Linked DNA regions of Nothobranchius furzeri. The protein of the gene in region 1 interacts with the protein of each later gene in a biochemical or structural test. Links are inferred from orthologs where the notes say so. Each region holds a gene or a part of one and is shown on either strand. Other genes may lie near its edges. The genes, in order: uba6 and ube2t.

Region 1 (4,255 bases):
GCAAAAGACAAAATTACTGAGCTGTATCTGAGTCAAGGTTTGTGTATCGAAACAGAGCCCTTTGTATTTCAGATTAAAGTGAATGTAAATAATCCACGATAAATTAATCTTCAAGCTGTTTGATTAAAAAGCACAAATGTGGTTTTCTTTATTCTACGTCAGCCCCAAAACTAGAGTCAAACACAGGTAAATGTTTTACTCACAAGTTGACCTTTGCTCCTTTAAAAAGTAGAAAACCGAAAAATGTTCTGGTTGTTTTCTTTCAGTTTAAACTGGTTGAGAAATTCCTCTCCAGCTTTCCAAGTTGTATTTCATTTCCCAGACATCTCCCTAACACTAACTGTAACAAAAACGTAATTCACACCGTATGACTAAAACAACTGGTAAGCTGTTTTAAAAAAGTGAGGTCCTCACTTTGAAAAATGTCCTCACATTGTAGGGAAAGAAGTGAAAAAGGTCCTCAGTAGGTAGTACATACAAGTACACAAACACAAGCACACACACGCACGCACACACACACACACACACACACACACACACACACACACACACACACACACACACACACACACACACACACACACACACACACACACACACACACTTTGTCTTTCAGGAGCTTCGATTAATTTTACCAAATTGTTTTTTGATTGTATTTGGTTCTCATTTTATTAATTTGAGTAGTTTTATACATTCTTTGTGAAATCCAAATACATAAATGGCTTTCCTGTTTAAAACAAAATGTGGACCTTGAAATAAATAAATGTCTATGAATGTCTGATTGTGTTTATTAGATGCAGTAGGGTATTTATTGGCCTAACTTATAGTTTTATATTTGACATGTTTGATTAGAAACTAAAAACGTCTTCTGGTAACACTTTATAAATAAATATGTTTGTTTTATATTATCTATTAATAATAAATGTATTAGAACTAAATTCCTAAGTCCTGTGGCCGCATGGACGTAATTTGGGGGGGGGACAGGGGGGACATGTCCCCCCCACTTTTTCCAAAGTCAAGTTTTGACCCCTGCTTTTTTTACCATCCAAAAACAATATTACGCTATATTAAATTGACACTGGTTGAGCTCTAGGACCAAGCGGAAAACAATTGTTTGTGTTGAAGCCTGTTTCCCATTAGAGCATACTGTAAAGATTCACACACACACACCCCACCCCACTCCGTGTCCCCCCCACTTCTAAAGTGAAAATTACGTCCATGGCCGCCAAAGGACTATGATCTGAAACGTTTGTAGTGCTGAGCTTTTGAATCGCGCGCGCGTGTGTGTGTGCGTGTGCGTGTGTGTTGTTTGAAACTCACAAAAGTGTAATCTGAAATATTGATAACTCAATAGCCTCCGTTATTTGGTAAACATCTGACAAAATATGAAAAAATTTCTTTCGACTTTCATCATGAAAAAATGCCCTATTGGAGGATTTTGGTCACGTGATTGTGATAACCCGGAAGTACTCCAAGTTTTTAACCAGTCACAGCCATTCATTTGCTGTATTTCGTCGTGCTCACTGTCAGATATTCGCGTAAGATATTCCGCCTTATTTTAACAACATTTAAACATTTTCTTATTCATATTTCCAATAAGCTCAATTGTCTTGAACAAATGATTAATATTTTGGTGATGTATGGTCTAACGCGGGTGCCATTGAGTGTATGTAGAAGTCCTCGCCACCGGTGTTGTACCGAAAAAAAGCATCCCTGCCGGCAGGAGTGACACTCGCTGCTAGTTAGCTAAAGCAGCTAGCTTTGAGCTTTTATCAGCAAGCTTTCTAAATAGTAGTACTTTGTAAGTCACGTTGTTATAGTTAAACTTTGAGTGTTAGAAGCGGTTGTTGTCAAGCTCTGTTTCCCTCTTGGGTGACAGTTACACTTAGCCACCTTGCTAAGTTACAGCAGGGCGTTGGTTTACGGTATAAACTCTAACAGCGTTTTATAATCTGCGGTTATAATTGGTGTTTAATAGGTGAAGTCGCTATCTGTGAAACGGCTGAACCCCATTTCCCCTCCCACCATGGCTTCTGATTTGATGGAGATTGACGACTCTCTCTACAGGCAAGTTAGCCAGCGATTCACCTAAATAACTCGAAACTTAAGACATGATCACCAACCACCTCTCTCCCTGATCTAACTCATCTTCTCACGCTCTTTCTTCTTCATCTCTCCCTCCAGTCGCCAGCGATATGTGCTCGGAGACCGTGCTATGCACCAGATGGCCCAGTCCTCAGTCTTTCTCAGTGGAATGGGAGCAATGGGAGTGGAAATAGGTGAGCAAGACTGCAGCTTTTAGCCCAGCAGCACTCTGGCATTGGTCTTTATAAACAAGTTTGATGTTTACACTCTTTTTTTTTTTGTTTAGCAAAGAATATTGCCTTGGCAGGTGTAAAGGTAGGCACAATCTTTAGGTTGTGTGATTTTCAAACATCGCCAATTCAATTTGATTTGTTTGTGTGCTTACTGCATGTGTGTGTGTGTGTGTGTGTGTGTGTGTGTGTGTGTGTGTGTGTGTGTGTGTGTGTGTGTGTGTGTGTGTGTGTGTGTGTGTGTGTGTGTGTGTGTGTGTGTGTGTGTGTGTGTGTGTGTGTGTGTGTGTGTGTTGTACAGTCAGTAACGCTTCATGACACAAAGCTGTGTGAGACCTGGGATCTTGGCTCCAACTTCTTTATTCGCAGAGATGATGTATCGAGCCAGAGGAGGAGGTACAGTGTGCTACACGATTGGACTGCACAGATTCTTTGTACATTTATCAGAACACAGAAACTATACATAATCTGCACAGTCCTCGTGTGCATACACCAACCAGAATGACACTTGTATGAGTCAAAGTTTGTTTGGAGGAGTGTGTTGCCAGCAGCTAACTTCAATCAAATGTCATTTTTAGCCCAACGCTTCACTAGCCTTTTCTAAAGCCAGTCCTAACTAGAGCATGAGCAGTCATGGTTTTTCTATGTTTTATATTTCATCTGAAAAAATACAACATTACCACTTAAAGATATATTATAACAAAGCTTAGGAGAAGTCAGACACTTAAAACATAAATACAAACATACACATAAGAGCAGTCCTAATTAAAAGAGACGTACCAAGGAGCTGCCCGGTAATCAGAATCAGCATCGTCTGCTTTATCTATGATTAGATGATTTCTGGGTGGTGCATGTTGCTAAGGATGATACAGTTTGCTCATTTTTTGTCTTAAAACATTTTATGAAAGATGATACAGCTGCTAGTGTTTGTGGGATGATCAATTGTTAGCTAGCTGTTATGCAAATGAGACATGAGGGTTTGAATGTCCAGAAAACGTGCTTCAGTGTGATTCCTATAGCTAGCCTTGGTGCTATTCTTAGACTAAATCAGACCCATTAGCGCGTGGTGCCTAAATGAAAAGCTTGTTTTGCCTTAATGTCTGTTTAATTCTGTATTTCAATCAGCCTGTTTATCTAGAAACAGATCATTAGTCATGTGATCAATAACAACATAGCCAACGAATCTACTCATGTTATAAAGCAAGACTTCAGTGTCAGGCCGCCCCTCCTCGTAGGCTCTTCTCGTGTTTGTTGACCTGGTTCTTCCCCTGCTCTCAAAGGGTGGAGGCGGTATGCCCTCGAGTAGCTGAGTTGAATCCTTACGTCCAAGTCGACGCATCTTCCGTACCCCTGGATGACAACACGGATCTCAGTTTTCTCAGGAAGTATCAAGTAAGTTGGTGCTCTTCAGGTGATAATTTAAATAGTAGTATATTCCCACTGGCTTGCATGCAGAAACTCAAAAAATTAGAATATGGAGTAAAAGTCCATTTATTGAAGACTTGATTTATTTAGACTGAGAGACCGTCTAAAGCCTGGTTTATGCTTCTCCGTCAGCTCCGCAAGGGACAGACACGCACGGACTGATGGAAGCGTTTTGCTCTCATAATTCTCCGTCTCCTGGAGAGTGTTGCAAAGCAATTCCCCAGCAGGACACCAGAGGGCGTAGCGCTGTTCTGTGGTATCCTGTCATGTACCGGTCCAAGATAGAGTGTCTATATTGTGTTTTTTGTGTATATAAGAGACTTTTAACACGGACATATTTGTCTCTCATTCTCCCACCGCTTCATGCGCTCCCCACCTCTAAACCCACGTTTCCTGTCATTTCCGTCCACAAATAAAACGCTTGCTGCGCATCTTTTCACTCCTCCAGTCACGGGAGAATTAAACGTTCTTGTTTTTAGAGTTTTTTTCGCGAGGTATTCTTCAAGCTTCTCCGT
Region 2 (4,559 bases), on another chromosome or scaffold:
GCCTACATGGCAGCGCTCAGAGACTCTGGCTTCACTGATGTCAAAATGGAAGACAAATATCATCACAACATCCCTTTTCAGGCGATGTTTGCCACTGCTTCAAAATGAGATGTACCGTCAAGCTGTATGTGTGATTCTATCAGTTTGTTTTTTTAAATAATAATAATAATCACAGTGAAGATAAAGCTCTAAATTATTTTCAGATTCTCAGTTGTGTCACAACATTTAGTTCTGTGCTCTCATTGTGCAGATGAATTCTATTTTAAAGACACACAGATGAATTGTTACATTGAAATGTTTTAGTCGCAATTAGACATTTTTCTGTTAAAGTTCTGAAAAAGTTGGGAATATGTGTCAAGTTAATATTCACATTTCTAGGCAATAATTAGAATAGTTATTTTCTCTAAAACACACTAAAAATGATTAAAACTATACATTCATAGACTAATAATGTTGTTTAAAGAAGTAAGAATCTTTTTAATGTAGTTGATAAAATGTGGGAAACTCCTTTACTTTGTTATTATTATTTTTTTAAGTAATTTAGAACAGACGACACTAAATCATTCATGTTCTGTACCACTCATGTTCACTCGATCCAGCAAATTTATAAGAGGTGAGACCCAAGACAGATACCAATCTAAGAGGCTGAACTCTCAAGTGAGTTTTCTCTTCACACACAAAACCCGAGAGTCGTTTAGTTGTCGCCACTGGAGAACGACAATTCATCTGAGTTTGAAGTCCTGTATATCAAGCTGGGTTTAGCTCTTTTACTCCACAGAATTATCATATTTCAAACTAAATAAATACAGTTTAATTGTTTTCTTATTCAGCTAAATAGTATATAAAGACTGTTAGGTCGAGTTTTCTTGTCGCAAACACGCTAAAACGTTTTATTTTGAAAAAACTCAGGAAGTGTTTCTACCAAACCTAAAAAAAGAATTAGTATATCTTCTCCTCATTTGTTCTCCTAAATTTTATTATTCATAAGAAAACAAAAGAAAAAGAAAGATTATGACTTTTTAAATCAGCTTTATTGAAATATAAAACCTAAATGATCTCTTCTAAATGGTTTAACAGAACTATGGTGTAGTTTCGCCCTAACTCCACTAGATGGCGGTAGTTCCCCTCGCCGTTCACGGATTTGTAAATCTCTCTTCTTCTGCCGAATGTTATTACTCCCAAGAGAACAAAAAATAGGATTTTTCAGCTTTATTGAGATAAGAAAAAAACATGCAAAATCCACACAGAAAGGCCAGAGAAAACATTTGATTCAAATATCCATTTGATGCAGAAGAATAGTCAAAAATAGTATATTACAGAAAGACTGGAAGAGAATTAGAGAAAAATTTCTAAAAAAATTAATGTTGGAAGAGGTAAGATGCACAGTTAGAAACATGCGTGAATATTTTGATACTCAAACAGGATACACTGTTTTGTTTAAACTTCAGCAAACAACCAGAAATATTTCAACAGAAGAAGAATAAATATTTTTATTTTCTTGCGGAATATTTGAAGCAATATTAAATAAAAAAATAGACAATCTTGAGAAAAATAAAGAAAAAGAAAAACACTTGTAATATTCTATTAGTATCAGTTGGTGGAGGTAATGCACCAATCTGTGATTTCAAGCTACACGAAGAAGAAGCAGCGCGAGGCGGCGGCGCGTCGAGAGGGAAATCCAAAAACAACTCCGCCAACAAGTAAATCTTGTGAGAAGTTTAACCGCTCAGAGCAGAGGAGGACATCAGCTGGGAAACGTGAGTGAATAAGAGAAAACATCGATGCTTGTTTGTAACAATGAGCCTGCTAACCCTAACCCGAGCTAGTTTAACCAAATTCTTACCAGAAAGCACGATTATCTCAGCGTTTATCTTCACATACCCTCCTTATTTTATGTATTTATTTATGTTCCGCCTCTAAAAGAATGCAAAGGGCTTCCCGTTTGAAGCGTGAACTTCAGATGTTGAGCACCGATCCTCCTCCCGGGATCACATGCTGGCAGACCGAGGAACGGATCGACGACCTCCGGGCACGTAAGTCCCACCAAGTCCCTGAATCTGAAACCACTATCATACAATCTTAGTAGAACAGAACCCATGCAGTAGCTCCATTTTTACTATCAGAGGCTTCTATGTCTTTATAAACAACAGCCATCAACGTTTTGGGGATAAATCTAGACTTTTGTCCATAATTAACAAACATGATCTGACTGCAGTGTGTGTTTTTGGTGTTCTTCAATACTTCGAAATGAGTAAAGTGTCTAAAACTTTAATATCCATCCTTAGTAATAATGGTTATTAACTTTTCTTATTATTTACTTGGATGTTGCTGTTCAAAAACTGTTTTTTTCTCTTCCTTGCAGAGATAGTAGGAGGAACAGGTACTCCTTATGAAGGTGGAGTCTTCTCCCTTGAGGTCAAGATACCAGAGAGGTTTATATTTTATTTGCATTGATGAAACTTCTGCAGTTTTTTTTTACTAGACACAGTAACTTGCCAAGTGTTTACCATTCTTTTCACACAGATATCCATTTGAGCCTCCAAAAATGCGATTCTTGACCCCAATCTACCACCCAAACATCGACACCTCGGGGCGTATCTGTCATGATGCTCTCAAACTACCACCAAAGGTTGTGAGAATAAAATAAACTTTTGATGTGCTTTATTCTAATTTTTTTCTTGCTTTGTACCACCTGATTGTTTGTGTATATGAGCGCACACACACACACACACACACACACCACACACACACACACACACACACACACACACACACCACACACACACACCACACACACACACACACGCACACACACTCACTCGTGTGTGTATGATCACTTTGTTTTCTGTGTTTTTTTCAGGGTGCCTGGAAGCCGTCTCTGAACATCTCCACTGTTCTTACCTCGATTCAGTTGCTCATGGCTGAGCCCAATCCAGATGACCCACTGATGGCAGATATCGTAGGTCATCTTCTTTTAGAAACGTGATCTCATGCTTCCTATTGGTTAGTTTTTATAAACATATTGGTTCCTGTGAGTTAACATCAATGAGGAGTTTAATGAGAACCTGTTTTTAAGATATTTAATTTGAAAGTTTCTGTGAAATCTGGTTTATTTTAACATTGAAACTGTATCTGTGAGCATGTCCAATCAAATGGATAGTTACAGTGCATGTTTCTGACTTTCAATTTTCTGTTTCAAATTCAGTCTTCAGAGTTCAAATACAACAAACACGTGTTTGTGGAGAAGGCCAGGAGGTGGACACAGGAACATGCAGTTCAGAAGAACACTGTAAGCTCTTATTCTCTCATTCACACCGTGGTTCTGCCAAACAGCCACTCCATTACATCTCATCTTCTAGCCCGTTTGGTTCTGTGAAGACCTCTGGGGCAAACTCAGAGGTGGATCAACTTCAACCATCTATTCTGTCACCGTTGTTTCACACCTGACACAGATGCAGGAAGGCGTAGGGCTACTGGAAAATATTTAGTGATTTTCCTGATTTATTAAAATGGTTGATTTCATTGTTCACTCAATCTGTACAATTTTGGTTAGATTTTTTTTATCCTTAATGGTGTAATCATGTGCGTTGGCTTACTTGAACCACTAAGGGGTGCTAATTTCAAAAGAAAACCTCATCTTTTAACATTGAAAAGCACAAGTTGTACATGTAAAGGGAAGGTTTTGAGCCACCATAGTTCATGTGTGCTTTGCTTCACTCATTTTTGTGCAGACACACTAAGTTGGTCAAAGTGTAATGGAGTTTACTAAAAGTGCAGAAACTGGTTCCCAAAAAGGGTCTTCCTATGACCGAAATGAAAAATTAGTCAAACTCCAAAGCAGATGTTGATCGATCTTATTTTTTCTATTGCTGATGTCGATAGATAAAGGTCATGGTCAGCCGACGGCCGGTGTCGGTACAGGATCTGCTCGGGTGCAAGATCGGCTCGGGGTCCTTCGACTGCCGATGACGTCAAAGTACGGCAAACCCACTCGGACAAAATACACTACACATCTATACTGTTGGAAAGAATTTAGCAGTTTTGTTATTAAAATAATGTTTCTTAAGACATAAGTTTGTGTTTATAATGGTATTTGTAAAATAAAACACTATATTTTATTCATAATGTTGAACTCCTCTTTGAGCACATCCCTTGAAGAATCATAGGTATTAGCAACACCTGTGAAATTGTATTTGCAGGAAAGAAGTGTGTCCCGTTTATTGAAGTATTTTGTTTTTAGAGTTTTTGACGTCTTGTCCATGAGTAGTTCAGTTACACTCATAGCTGCTAGCCAAAACTCTGGAGTTAAAAGTTTTCTGGCTTTACTAAAATACCTGTCTGTACTTATTTGATTGATGATATTTTTACTTTCTATTAGACTCCAAATGTAATCATTTGGCACGTTTCTAATTCATAATTTGTAATAACGTAATCGGCGATATTAGCATTAGCATTCCTATGGGTTTTTCCATGTATATCAGCATTGCGCTAACCACTCGCTGCCAAATTGCAGCCTTTGAGATTAGAAAATCTCCTTTTGTCACATCGCAATTTAATTG

Evidence for each region.
Region 2: the proteins of uba6 (region 1) and ube2t form a complex in vitro, tested with the Homo sapiens proteins (2 studies listed by BioGRID, with this or other methods). The link is inferred for Nothobranchius furzeri from reciprocal best matches to the Homo sapiens genes UBA6 and UBE2T.

What each region holds. Positions count from the first base shown.
Region 1 is NC_091747.1:78,729,760-78,734,014, forward strand, and holds the start of uba6 (ubiquitin-like modifier-activating enzyme 6), read left to right. Parts: upstream 1-1,397; 5' UTR 1,398-1,412; coding exon 1,413-1,538; intron 1,539-1,729; exon of another isoform or gene 1,730-1,801; intron 1,802-1,978; coding exon 1,979-2,067; intron 2,068-2,184; coding exon 2,185-2,279; intron 2,280-2,371; coding exon 2,372-2,400; intron 2,401-2,616; coding exon 2,617-2,711; intron 2,712-3,595; coding exon 3,596-3,707; intron 3,708-4,255. UniProt on the Homo sapiens protein: Activates ubiquitin by first adenylating its C-terminal glycine residue with ATP, and thereafter linking this residue to the side chain of a cysteine residue in E1, yielding a ubiquitin-E1 thioester and free AMP.
Region 2 is NC_091755.1:24,718,625-24,723,183, forward strand, and holds the start of ube2t (ubiquitin-conjugating enzyme E2 T), read left to right. Parts: upstream 1-1,629; 5' UTR 1,630-1,757; intron 1,758-1,923; 5' UTR 1,924-1,924; coding exon 1,925-2,033; intron 2,034-2,362; coding exon 2,363-2,432; intron 2,433-2,523; coding exon 2,524-2,629; intron 2,630-2,860; coding exon 2,861-2,959; intron 2,960-3,205; coding exon 3,206-3,289; intron 3,290-4,559. Other genes in the region: zgc:194242 (uncharacterized methyltransferase YdaC), read left to right, coding at 1-108. UniProt on the Homo sapiens protein: Accepts ubiquitin from the E1 complex and catalyzes its covalent attachment to other proteins. Catalyzes monoubiquitination. Involved in mitomycin-C (MMC)-induced DNA repair.